Caenorhabditis elegans: one gene and its partner. The protein of the gene in region 2 interacts with the protein of the main gene of each other region in a pairwise test. Each region holds a gene or a part of one and is shown on either strand. Other genes may lie near its edges.

Region 1 (5,903 bases), on a different chromosome or scaffold from region 2:
ACTCGGTGTTCCCATTGACACCAGCAGCAATATTTGCGGACGAGTCAATTGTCAGCTGTTGGAGAGGATTTTGGAAATCCTGTTGCTGCTGCATCATCATTGTCATTGGATGATCAGCCACGTCACTATCGAGAGAACTCATATCGGAACTTGCAGATGGAGAAGCTTTAAGCATTTGATCACCCATAACATCGTTCATTTGAGAAGTTTGAATTACAACAGGCATTTGAGGCATAGGTTGAGTTGGAATTTGTGATAGCATTGATGGAAGAGCAGATGGAATAATATTTGGTACTTCTGGAAGTCCTTGCTGATTTTGCATTGCATTTCGAACAAATTCCATTAGTTTCTCATTGGTCAACTCCATTGGTTGTTTCGTTGGGGATACAACGTTCTGCTGAAATTATTCAAGTTTTTAATGGAATTTCTAGACTTACAATGAAACCTACCGACATGAGAAGCTGATTAAATGCCGAAAAAGCGTTTGTCTCCTCCATTGAAGTTATCTTTCCTGACTAAAAACAACCATGTTCACATTTGTGTAAAGTTGAAAGAGAAATAAGGAAAGAAGAAAGTTTAGCATTGAAAAGTGAAAAGGGTTCAGTTCTGTGATAAAAAGACAGAGATTGCCAGGTTGTGTGAGGTTCAATAACTCAAATGTGAAAATGAGAAAAAAAAGAGAAAAGGAAAAATTGGAAATCTTGCACGGTGATTAACTTTTCTTATCTGTCGAGGTATTTTTAGAAGGTTCTTTAATAGTATGATGTTTAAAATAAAATTGTTCTATTGGAACACCGTATTTTTCTGATTGGCAAAACATTTGTTCCTAAAAGATGTTGCATCGTTTATTCACGCTGAAGTCTTTTAAATTTTCAGATACAAGACATGTATCTGCTTTTTAAAAAAATAAAGTAGGATTCATGAAAATGAATGATGTATGAGACCTAGAAGCAAAATTAACTTATTCCTTGCTCCTAGTACTCTGGATAATGATGCTAATTCGAAAAGAGAACAACGGAAGAAGAACTTGTAGCCGATATAGAACTTGCACTCTCTTTAGAAAAAACATGGAATAATGCTACACGGTGCTTGGGAATAAAAAGGGTACACACCAAACGACGAAAAAAGAAAAAATGAAGACTGACAGAGAGACAGAGAGATACTATTTGTTCTGTCTTCATGTCGATTGGCGGTTGAATGGTGCACAGAAAAAAGTGAGTTGGCCTACACAGGGTGGAAGACGCGCGCGCGGGACGATGGTGAGCCATTGCATCGATGAGAAATAGTACATATGAGAGTGAGAGTGACCCGCTTTAAAAAGTGTCTGCTGGGAAGATGAAAGCAGATGGTGACTTGGATAAGTCCATTATCGTGAAATGGGAACGAGCAAAATGTACACAAGGTCAAGTGAGAAATCTTCTGGATTATAAATGTGTTGGTGGAAGTACTTCTGATCGATAAATGACCACAGTAACACTATTAATAGAGAGTAGATGACTAAAGAGCAATTTCAAGATATGGAGAGACCTTGGTTGAAATAAAGCAAAACATTTTAATTCAACAATACTTTGGATTTGACCTTTTTTATGGGTTGTCCCAGGTAGATATGGAACTAGTAGATCAAGTTTCAATTTATAACATGTAAATAATTTCTATATTGAATATTTATTTGAACTAGACACCTTATACTCTGGATCTCATTATACTGTAGATGTCGTTGGATTGGATTGACAGTTGAAAAACATTTTGATACAGTAAGAGCAATTGAGAATATTTTAATCAACTCTCACTGATATTTAGAACCAATTCTTATATGATGTCTCAGGCTTTCTAAGATAATTACACTGCCAAAATGTTGGAATATCTTAATATGGTTTCCACACAAAAATTTCCGTTTTGTTTTTGTTTTTAATTTATAAAAATCAAATGATGACTCGACAATGAAAAGTTGAATTATTTTAGAAAGATTGAATAGCATATTTTACAGTTTATATGTAAAATATAAGCTTTTACCATCTCCATGTTTTCTGTCCTGTATTAACCGATTAATACTTCCACAACTCTTTTCCCCTTACAAGGCAATTATTGTTTCATGTTTCTTCTTTATTGCGTCACAAAGAACGCGGTTTACTCCCTTCATAATGAATGTATACCAGTATATGCAAATGTATTTGCTCACCAACTGAATGTGTCATGTGTAACTGTTTTAGATTAAAAAATGTCTCAACCGAGAGAATATGTCATCGCTGTAATAAGATTTTAAAACTTTCTACAATAAGTGTTTTTTATTTAATAGTGCGACACTGGAATATCGTTAGTTGAGTTGTAGTCTAAATACTCTTATGATAGCCTAAGGTTACCGAATATCATAAATTTCTTTTTTTTTTGGTTTTTCAAAATTTCCAGTCAAAGTTTTGGTAAATTGGGAAAAATCTAAAAATGTGTGTTGTTTGAGTAATTTCGAGTATTCCTGCAAGTTCAAACCTTTAGAATGTTTGAATATGAACAATTGAAGTTCAAGTATAAACCTCGTAGAAACTAATTTTTCTGGTCGAATTCGAAAATTGAATTTTCTCCACTTTTTGACGGTAAATCTAAAAAACTACTTGGGCGCTAACGTTTATGCGTTTTTAATGTTCCGGAAGTCCTCCGTAGGTTCGATTATTGATGAATTCGAAGTTTATAAACTGTTAACCTGTTTAAAAAAAGTATTTTCAAAATTTCAATTTATATACACTACGCACCACGCAAGGAATTGACTTAAACTTGGCATATAGTTCCTACTAAGTTTCTGTAAAATTGAATATCTTGTGAAGTTCTCTGTTTATCCCCATAATTCTAAAACAATATCTTCTTCTGCAAGTAATAAAAAACGAACTGATATGGATCAGTTCAATGACCGTGTCAATTCCAGTCTTCTGCCAAATGACCAGTGTCGTCATAAACAAGAATCTAAATGACGAAAAACATGAATTGGATGATAATAACAATAATTATTATTAATATACGCATAACGGTCTGATCATGTCGATGTCGCTGAACCGGTCCCTTATCTTGCCATATATGCCGCCCGCAGATTCCGAATCATTTGCATATTCACAAAGACAACAGAAGAGTCTCTGTGTCAGCCGTCATGTTCAGGCCTATACTAATTCTTACAATCCTTTCATGTGTATTGGCTTATCACCGTAAGTGATTTTGTTTGCTTAACCTTAGAAAACAATATTAATTCCAGAGTACCGTGAGCTTAAATGCTCCACTCCAACAAACTCTATCCGTGGAGGACCAGATCGTGCTGAATGTCATTTGGTTTTGAAGGCTGAAGAGTTGGAAACTGGAAGACCTGTTCCAACTGGACTTGGATGCTGGCAGGTACGGTTGTTGTTTGGTATTAACCCAGAAAAAGGTCTAAATATTCAATTTTAAGATTAAAAAAGCTTTCTTTTATTTTCTAATGTCTTTTGTAAAATCTTGTCACATGCATGCTATCTTCGAATCGTGAATCAACTTTTTTGAAACAATTATCATTTACTATATATAAAGCGCTTATTCTGTGTGTCCATAGTTTGTAGTCTATGTAGTCTTTGTAGTTTCTGAAGTTTTGGTTTCTGGAGGGATAGTGAGTTGGGGTTAATGTAGGGATATAGTCGGGGTATTGTAGTGGTACAATAGTGGTACGGTAGGAATACTGTAGGGTTACGGTAGTTTCAGAAAAATTAGTTTAAACCCAGAAGTCGGGGGCCGCGCCGGAGGTGCGGTCCACGGCTGGTGTATACATATATTACGGGAACAAAAAATCATGAGAATGCGTACTTGGTGCATTTTATTTGACGCGCGATATCTTTTAGCGACAACTACAGTAAGAACTCAAATAACAATAGATATTTAAGCTCTTACTATAGTTTTCGCTAAGAGATATCGCGCGTCAAATAAAATGCACCAAGTACGCATTCTCATGATTTATTGTTCCCGTAATATATGCATAAAACAGAAGTGCGGCATGGAAATATGGGCGGAGTTTCGATACACAACCGCGGTAATTCAAATGAGGGGATTAGCCACAATTGAAAATTTGTAAAAATTGGCGGTATTTTTTCGTTTTTTCGCGGTATTTTGACATCCCTACCGGTGCTACTTAACATTTAAGCAAGAAAACTAAAAAGAGAAACCACGTTAAACATTAAAAAAAATTCTAAAATATTATCTGATATTTCCAGGAAGACCATGATGGAGAGGAGCGTGAATATTGTGACATTGTCTGTCCAAAATCCCACACCGTCTTCATCTCTTACATCGATCAAGGACATCGTGCGTGCTTCAACTTTATCACTTATCAAGTTGAGAAACGAAACGACGAGCATGTTCTCTGGCGTTCTGGAAAGTGCTTGAACTCTACTGTCAATTACCGTATCGGATGCAAGTTCGACGATCCATTCGAGACCCAATTCAAGTCCGACAACGAGATCTTCGCTCATCTCAGAGCTCGTGCCCGCAGAGTCTAGATTTTTTTGACATCTTGTTTTAAGTTTAATTTATTATGTTTCTTATTTTCTCTTTCTGAAATGCAATATCTATGCAATACTATGGTAAAAATTGATCATTCATCAGTAAAAAGTTATGCAATTAAACAAGAATTATCTTTTATCCATATTGTACATGATCATCATTTCCTCCGGATATTTTCCTTCTGGCGTTTCCAAAATCATTGGAATTCCATCGAGACGGTTGTCGTTCATCAAAAGCTCAAAAGCCGCTTTTCCTATCTTGCCTTGACCAATATGCTCATGACGATCGAGCTTCGAACCGACATCGCCCTTCGAATCATTGATGTGTATTGCTTTCAGATAGTTCCAGCCAACCACTTCACCGAAATTTTTCATCACTTCTTCATAAGCCTTTTGAGTTCTAATATCATATCCTCCAGCAAAAATGTGACACGTGTCGATACAAACTCCGACTCTTGACTTAACTTTCACTTTATCAATGATGAACTTGAGTTCTTCAAAAGTTCCGCCAATCGAGTTCCCTTGTCCAGCCATTGTCTCGAGAACTGAAATGTTTTGAAATTGAAATTTTCTTTTTAAAATTATAGTGCACTAACCTAAAATAATATTCTCAGTTTTCTCAACAACAAAATCGATTGTCTCTGCAATTGTTGTCATGCATTCTTCTTTTTCACACTTTCCGACAGTTGATCCTGGATGGAAATTGTACATCGTGATTCCTAATTTCTCAGCCCGTTGACATTCGTCGAGCATAGCAAGTCTTGATTTTTCTAATTTCTCAGCTTCAGGCGATCCAGCATTCATCAGATATGAACCATGGGGTACAATCTGATCCAATGGGAAATTTGTCTCGCGAACCGCTTTCCACCAATTTTCGACAACTTCTTCACTCATTGGTTTGTGATTCCAAGTTCGCTGATTTCGAACAAACATGGCAAAACTTCGGCATCCTTCTGCTCGAGCGTTGTAGATTGCTTGTTCAAGACCTCCAGCAGCACTCACGTGGAATCCCAACATTTTACTCGATCCTTCAGATGTTTTCAGAACTTCCACGCCAACCGTTTCACGAGATTTTTTTTGAGCGATAGTCTCTCCCGATGTTTTTCTTGTTTTTTTCGGTTTGTTTTCCAGTTTAGAGGTTTCTTCTTTATCAGTTGAAATATTTTCTTCAGTTAATGTTTCTTCTACGGTAGTTCCAGGGCTTTGGTTTTCCGACTCTTCCTCTTCTAAATTTACAATTTATGAATAAGATCGTAATGAATAAATTTGTAGTTTTTAAACTATTTTTTTAATTAAAAAAGAAAGAAGGGCTATTTAATGTTATCTCTAAAAATTTGTTTATGAGTGCCAAAAAAATGAGTGATTTCTAATTTTTGGCAGAAAATTACAAAGTTCAAT
Region 2 (8,242 bases):
ATAGTTAATCTTAATAATTTTTCCTATTCCGGTTCATCGTCAAAACCAGATGACAATGCAAAGATTTGTTTGAAAAAATTTCCAGAAACCCCGACAAAACCCTAATTACAATGCAAACCTAAACACCCTTCCTTCTAATTAGAACAATTAAAATTTGCAAAAACAAGATGCTGATGTCTTGTTCACGTGCTAGTCCTGTTGACCGCTGTAAATCTGCCATAACTCAATTGAAAGGTGAAGAAATTAGAGCGATAAGAAGACTAAAGTGCCCATTTTACGACCGTACGCTTTCTTTCTTCTTCTGATGAGATTGACACCATACCGTGAACGAAAGGTGACGATCAAAGGAAACTGATTATTTTGATTTCTGTTCAGAACTAATAAAAGTAATAAGTTTCCGAGTAAAATATTGTGCGGTACTTACATGCCAATATTTTAAATTTAAAGCGCCTAATTCGATGAGCAATAATATGTAATACGCCAACAAGAAAACTTCTTGTGAATTAAAAAAAAATTGTGAAATTAGGTGCCTCAAGTGAGTGTTACTGCTTTCTGAGTCACAGATATAATACATACCATACCTAGTTTGCACATCAATTCTGTTGGATTCAGAACCCAGCTAGAGGACATACACCGATTCTCAATGATTCCGTATTTAATTTTAAATTTGCGCGTTAAGTGTGGTGTGTCACACATTTGGTGCTTGCAACCTAAATACACTTGTCCATTTTTAAAAGTTAAATAGCAACTATCAGGTTTACAATACTATCTTTCACCGTCTGCGTCTCCATCTCCATGTTCTTCATATCAGTTCAAAAAATGATGTGCTCTTTGTAATGCTCCGACTCTTTTTCTTTTCTCCCTGTCCCGAATGATAAGTCAATTAATCGATACCCCCCCCCCCCCCTGATCATCACCTCATTTCCGTTTTTTGTTGTCCGTTTGTTAAGTTTCCGCTCATTCAGATTTTTGCAGTAGGTATGATATCATTTAAGTGTAGTTTAAACGTAAAACTGATTGGGATCAAAGCAAACATGCTCTCTCGCTAATAAGTTTGCAACATAGTGATCATCGTATATAGCGCATTTGTATTGCCGTTCTGCTGATCATGGTCTGAAGCAGCCAACATTGTGCGGCACCGCCTCCCTAATATGAAATTTTAGTGACACACGAAGTGCCCGCTGCTGCTTCAACACTTAAAGATATGTTCTATTGATGTGACATACGTGACCGTTGGCAGATAAGCAATAAACCAGGAAAATGTCTGAAAATTAGCTATTTCCCTTTCTTTCAACTTGTGCCACTCTCTCTCTCTCTCTCTCTCTCTCTCTCTCTCTCTCTCTCTCTCTCTCTATTTTTCTCCGATTCCATCCTCTCCTCCTCTTCCCATTCACCTGTTATGATCATTTATCGTCACTGGCGCCGAAGAGACGCAGAGTGATGGGTATGTGGAGGTAGAGAACACATATGGGCACATCCCCCTTACACAAATTAGGTGTGACGGCTTCGAATTAAATTGATCGATGAGCAGTCCGCACCGATGGGACAGTTCCCGGCATATTGAACAAAACAGTGTCTCAGGCTGGTTAAGACACAATTTTATGCTACACGGTGTTGTCACGTAGATTGCGGTTGGTAGAGTTTGCAGGGACGCAGAGAGGCTAGAGACTTTGGCTGTCTGCACTCTCTCCTCGCCTTCTCACCATGTGGCCGCGAGATATATTGATGGCCGAGTTTTCTCCATTCATAATGAAACAAGTCCCCCGGATGGCCAGAAATGGTTTTTATAACTTTGTTTGTGGGTGACCTAGTTCTCTCAATTGTTTCAGATAATTTAAACTATTTTGCAGAATGGACTGTTCACATTTCTCTATCATTTTATTTTTTGCTCGCTGAGCATTTCTGATCTTTTGATGATGTACTTTTTTACTTCCTTCGTCATTCCCACCCTGAACGATAAACTAATTTCCCTTTCGATTAATGCTTTTTCTTTTCCAAAATTGCACTTTTATCATTTTCAAAGAAGAAAAAGAGATGGCATGACAATTGTCAGATGATTCTGAGGTTCGACTTTATTAAAATTAGCAATGTTTTTTTTTTATGTTATGGAGAATTTTTTAAATAGTTCTCCACTGACTCACTGTTGAATAATTTTTACTTGTAGAATTGTTTCTGTGGGAGAAGCATTCAAAAATTAATCACATCTATTTTCAGAATTCCACTCCTTATTTTAGTTGTTTGTTGTTACATGTACTTATGTACTTAGTAATTGACACATTGCACAATTATTTAAATGCGTGGTAAAGTGCACAAAACAAAGAGTATAAGAATATAGTTTGGTTTTCATAGTTGGAATGCTGGACTGATTGCTGGAATGTTGGAATGTTTGTTGTGGTAGGTCGGTGTGTCTGCTGTAGTTAGGGAGTTTTCCCTAAATCCAAGTTTTCAAACACACTTCATCCTTTCCTTGAAAGCACAATTTAAAAAGAAATAAATCATATAATTGGAACATTTATTTTTAAATTGAGATCCCATTGCTGTTTGATTTGTCCCTTCTTTCTGATCTTCATCCTTAATCGTCTTCTTCCGTTGTCACCTCGAATCACAACTTCATTTATTCTTCATTATCTGATTATCACCAACCGTTCTAAGTAAGCACCTCCCATTTTCTCCATTCAGCTCTCCCGTATTCTCTGCTTCCCGTGACTCCGCCTCTTTTTTCAACTTTTTTGTGGGTTTGCTATCATTTTCTATCTCTCAATCTTTGTCACTTTGTTCTCGAAAAACGTCTGAATTGGTCGAATAATGTTTCATCCAGGTATGACATCTCAGCCGTCTACTTCTAACCAAATGTATTATGATCCTTTGTATGGAGCAGAGCAAATTGTACAGGTGAGCACTATATTGTAGGAGACAGTTCAAGAGAGAGCGCGAGAGAATGAGAGAATATGAACATTTTTGGGGAACACTTATCTATTATAGTAGTCTAGTAATTGCTTCTGATTCTTAAAATACAAATAAAACTGTCTTCGTGCTTTGCATTTAGAAACTGAAGTACAAAATTCAGACAATATTAATTTTAACTATTTCAGTGCAATCCAATGGATTACCACCAGGCAAATATTTTATGCGGAATGCAGTATTTCAACAACTCGCATAATCGATATCCGGTTGGTTCAGTGATATTTGAAAACTAATTCTCTCAAAAATAAAATGGACCTCATTTTACTATTTTTCTGCATATGTAACGAAAAAATCAATAAACTTATATCCCAGTGACCAAATCGATAAGCTTTTCAAAATTTATTAAATCAAAAAATTTCAGTTATTACCTCAAATGCCACCACAGTTCACAAATGATCATCCATATGATTTTCCGAACGTGCCGACAATAAGTACTCTTGACGAAGCGTCTTCTTTTAATGGATTTTTGATACCTTCTCAACCATCTTCATATAACAATAATAACATTTCTTGTGTATTTACGCCTACACCATGTACATCATCACAAGCTTCATCCCAACCTCCACCTACACCTACAGTCAATCCAACACCGATTCCACCGAATGCTGGAGCAGTTCTCACAACTGCAATGGATTCATGTCAGCAGATTTCACATGTTTTACAATGTTATCAGCAGGTAGAAGGGGTCTTTGAAAAATAGAAAAATTTTAAGTAAAAATATAATGTTTTAAAATACTTGTTTTCCTATTAAAATACATTTCAAGTTGTATGGATTTTAAGTTTTCAAAAAAAATTGCTGAGAAAGTTGCATATTCATATCTGCTTGGGATTTATGAAAATTTTCGAACCAAAAATTTAGATTAAACTGAAACTTCTCTACATTTGAAAATAACGTACTAGACTTGAAATTTTTATTTGATTTCCTCTGATGAAATCATTGAATAAAACTCTGAAAATTTCAGAGCTCCAGAATTTTTTCTTTCTTGTAAACTTTAACATAAAACTTTAGGAAAGAAAAAACTCTGGAATTTTTACAAAATAGTTCTGAAACTACTTTTCCACTTTTATTTTTCAGAACAATTTTGAAAAAGGTATTCCAAAACTTGTCAAGCAAAACAAAAGAAGTTTTAATAATTAAAAAAAACTCCAAACTACAAAACAAACATTGTGGGTACGGCAGGCGCCAAGATAGCTGTGGAATTTGAAAACTGGAGCATTGAAAGAGAATTAAACAATTTACACGTGTTTCAGGGTGGAGAGGACAGTGATTTTGTACGGAAAGCCATCGAATCTCTTGTCAAAAAATTGAAAGACAAACGAATTGAATTGGATGCATTGATTACAGCAGTTACTTCAAATGGAAAACAACCAACTGGATGTGTTACTATTCAGGTTTGAAATAATACAACCTTTTGCTTCTGTACAGTAACCTAAAATTTTTTATTTTATGCTTGGAATTTTCGAAAATTTCAAAATTCCAGATATAAATTTCAGCAGTTTATGGGTATTTCAAAGAGAAAAACATGTTGCTTGCCAACTTTCTAAAATAACCAACAAAATTTTCAAATTTTTTTTCGTGAATTTGAAGTAAAATAATAATGTCAAAGTTTTTTCCGGTTTGAACATTTTAAATGGATTTTTGTTAGTACTTCCGATTCTTCAATTTTAAATACAGTTATCATCTTTAAAAGTTTAGAGATCCTTGGATGGACGCCTTCAAGTTGCTGGACGGAAAGGTGTTCCACATGTAGTTTACGCAAGAATATGGAGATGGCCAAAAGTTAGCAAAAATGAACTTGTGGTACATGAAAATGTTTGAACTCGGAAATAAACTGAACTATTCCAGAAATTAGTTCAATGTCAAACTTCATCAGATCATCCTGATAATATTTGCATTAATCCTTATCACTACGAAAGAGTTGTCTCAAATCGGATAACAAGTGCAGATCAATCACTTCACGTGGAGAATTCACCTATGAAGAGCGAATATTTAGGAGATGCAGGAGTTATTGATAGCTGCAGTGATTGGCCGAACACACCTCCTGATAACAATTTTAATGGTAAGAGTTGAACTCCAAAACTGTAAGTAGAGGTGGCTGCTCTCTCTCTCTGACTTTTATGCCTGCCTACGTACCTTCTAATACTTATTTGTTTGATATGGATGTTTAGTGAAGATAAAGGGTAGATAGAGGCATTTCTCATCTGCCCAAGATGAGCATGAATATATTTAATACAAAATCAACACTGAGAATTTTAGAGACCGATTTTAAATGTGACCCAATTTTTTTCAGGAGGATTTGCACCAGATCAACCTCAGCTAGTCACACCGATTATTTCTGATATTCCGATAGATCTCAATCAAATATATGTTCCAACACCTCCACAATTACTTGATAATTGGTGTTCAATCATTTATTATGAACTGGATACACCCATTGGTGAAACCTTTAAGGTATGTTTTTCTATGAAATCTGATGACTATTCATTCATGGTGCAAATCGCCTAGAAATTTTTGTGAAAGAGCGTGATTCTATCAAAAATGTGCAATGGCGTTATTAAATAATTTTAATTTTCTAAATTTTAGGTCAGCGCCCGCGATCATGGAAAAGTAATAGTAGATGGTGGAATGGATCCACATGGAGAAAATGAAGGAAGGTTATGTCTTGGAGCACTTTCAAATGTTCATCGAACAGAAGCTAGTGAAAAAGCAAGGTAATTTTAATTCAGGATCATGAAGAAAAATATAACACTGTTTTGCAGAATCCATATTGGTCGTGGTGTTGAATTAACCGCTCACGCCGATGGCAACATCTCTATCACTTCAAATTGTAAAATTTTCGTCCGATCCGGGTACCTAGACTACACTCATGGATCCGAGTACAGTAGTAAAGCACATCGATTCACTCCGAATGAATCTTCATTTACAGTATGTTCCCATTCAGGGAGTTTTACAAATGATAGAATGTTACAGGTATTCGACATCAGATGGGCCTACATGCAGATGCTCCGACGTTCTCGATCAAGCAATGAAGCAGTACGAGCACAGGCGGCAGCTGTTGCTGGATATGCACCGGTTAGTAGTAATTTGCAAGCAAAAAAACGACTCGACGCACCATATGGTGCATCATATGATCAGTGTACTGATTTTCTGCACGGACCCAATGCCATAGTTCACTTAAAAATTATTAGTGAAACTGACTAAATTTGCGACCAGGGTGATGTATTATTTCTGAGAATCAAAGATTCAATTTACCCTGATGATGCTTCGGGCATCAGCTAGCTAATTGTACACTTTTAATTCACAGACTCAAAGCATCATATATCACGAACACGAACAAGCAAAGCCTGATACCCAAGTTTAAAAAATATTTAAAAATTCAGATGTCCGTGATGCCAGCGATAATGCCTGACAGTGGAGTTGACAGGATGCGTCGTGACTTCTGTACAATTGCGATTTCATTTGTAAAAGCTTGGGGTGATGTCTACCAGAGGAAAACTATTAAGGTATGTCGACTACTCTATAAGAACTAGTCACCAATGACTTTTTTCCAGGAAACCCCATGTTGGATTGAAGTAACTTTGCACCGTCCTCTACAAATACTGGACCAGCTTCTCAAAAATAGTTCTCAATTTGGAAGTTCCTAACACTTATTTTTTATTTTTCTTCAATAATGATATCTACCTGTATTTACGTACCCCAGCAGTTTCTCATATTCATGTGCGTTGTAAAATCTCCTTTTTTGAATTTTTTCACTTTGGAAATAAAGTTTTTAGCATAGTAAATACAACCACACTATGTAAAAATAGGTTGCAGGAAAAATCAAAGAAATTTTAAAAAAATGAGCGGTTGAGTTTTCTCTTTTGGTGGCCGCGTTGACGAAATGGAAGAATCAAACCATATGCACCATTGTCATCATATTTACTTACCCAGAGCCATTATGGTTGATTGAAAATTCATGGTTGAATTCTCACATATGGAATATCATTCCCACGAATTCCCACTAATTTCTTCAATGAAGTTCAAAATAAGAGTGCTCGACGGTCTCTCCCCTCTGTGCCAGTGACAAAAAAAGTGCCCCATTCCGGGAGAATTATGTCCCTTGAGAACCATTTTGCCAGGGGCCGTGAGTGTGTCGCCCCCTTTCTACTCTATCCTAGTGGCCCTTTGTCTGTGCGACACAAAATATTCCAAAAGTAACACTATCATTTTTATTGTCTTCTCCTACACTCATCCCCATTTCACTGAGCCATTCCTCTGAATGTTGCAGTTTTATGTGCAATTTTTTTCAGAAATCACAGAGTTTTTCTTTTTGCAAGACCTTCTTTTGTTTTTTTTTTTTGAGAAACTAAGAGTAAATTTTGGAGATCGAAAGTTCCTCACTTAGCTTGTCAAGTACTTTTTCTGCATACTTTTTTCTTGGAAAAATATGTTTATGTACTTGAATTTTGAACTAAAATGAGTTGATTTGTAGGCGCCACTTCTTCATTTGGCCAAGTTTCTATACTTGCCCAAAACTACATTAACCCAAAATTAATCAATCGGTGAAACCGATTTTCAAAAAAAAACTTTAAAAAAAAATTAAAATGTCAACTAATTTTTATTCTTTCGATGAATCTCACATCAAAGTAAAGTTTACAAAGATGGTCCAAATGTACCATAACATGCACAAGTTTTTCAACGGCTGACAGTTTACGGGTGTTTTATTCAAAATCTCAATCAAAAAATTAGATTTTCAATTCAATTTATCTTATTTCCAAAATCTACTAGCTTTTATTTATTTTTCCAAATTGACATCATTTACCCTTTTTCTCAAGGTTATGCTTGATTGAATTCTGAACCTCCATGCTTTTTATTATCTTCCACTTCATTTCTCTTCTTGAATCACTTTTTGCACAAAAAAATACTTAGTTTTTTTTATTATTTAGATCAAAAATTATTTTTTCGCCTAGAAAATATGGCATGACCTAGGAGCACTTTCGTGATATTATCAGACATTTTGCATACATGTTGCTATTTCATTCGGTCTAAAAATTTAAATTCTGATTTAATTCAATTTATATTTATGGTAGAAATTTCGTAATTTGATTCGAGGCCGCCGAAAAATATATGAAGAATAATTTTCCACCTTCTCTTCCATCTCAAAAAAACAAAGAATTCAGTTATAGTAGTCGGGTCGGTTGAGAACAAAAGGGGACCCCTAGTATTTTCATGTTCTACAATAAATCATATTGACCCTTTTCATGGCATCATTTGGAGATTAGAGGAGCCTTTTCTCTT

What was found. The genes of interacting proteins can lie anywhere in the genome.
Region 1: the proteins of sma-4 (region 2) and mtre-1 interact in a two-hybrid assay, tested with the Caenorhabditis elegans proteins (one large-scale study listed by BioGRID).

What each region holds. Positions count from the first base shown.
Region 1 is NC_003280.10:8,047,749-8,053,651, reverse strand, and holds mtre-1 (Male Tail tip Retraction Expression), read left to right. Parts: upstream 1-3,074; 5' UTR 3,075-3,133; coding exon 3,134-3,188; intron 3,189-3,235; coding exon 3,236-3,372; intron 3,373-4,217; coding exon 4,218-4,502; 3' UTR 4,503-4,628; downstream 4,629-5,903. Other genes in the region: T05H10.4 (FLYWCH-type domain-containing protein), read right to left, coding at 3-397, 450-497; apn-1 (Apurinic-apyrimidinic endonuclease), read right to left, coding at 4,635-5,050, 5,102-5,731.
Region 2 is NC_003281.10:5,813,457-5,821,698, forward strand, and holds sma-4 (Dwarfin sma-4), read left to right. Parts: upstream 1-2,775; 5' UTR 2,776-2,820; coding exon 2,821-2,892; intron 2,893-3,092; coding exon 3,093-3,170; intron 3,171-3,325; coding exon 3,326-3,640; intron 3,641-4,215; coding exon 4,216-4,356; intron 4,357-4,660; coding exon 4,661-4,765; intron 4,766-4,810; coding exon 4,811-5,024; intron 5,025-5,255; coding exon 5,256-5,416; intron 5,417-5,548; coding exon 5,549-5,676; intron 5,677-5,724; coding exon 5,725-5,890; intron 5,891-5,935; coding exon 5,936-6,037; intron 6,038-6,345; coding exon 6,346-6,468; intron 6,469-6,516; coding exon 6,517-6,609; 3' UTR 6,610-6,741; downstream 6,742-8,242. Other genes in the region: R12B2.7 (Ovule protein), read left to right, coding at 1,778-1,798, 1,851-2,057. UniProt on the Caenorhabditis elegans protein: Involved in TGF-beta pathway.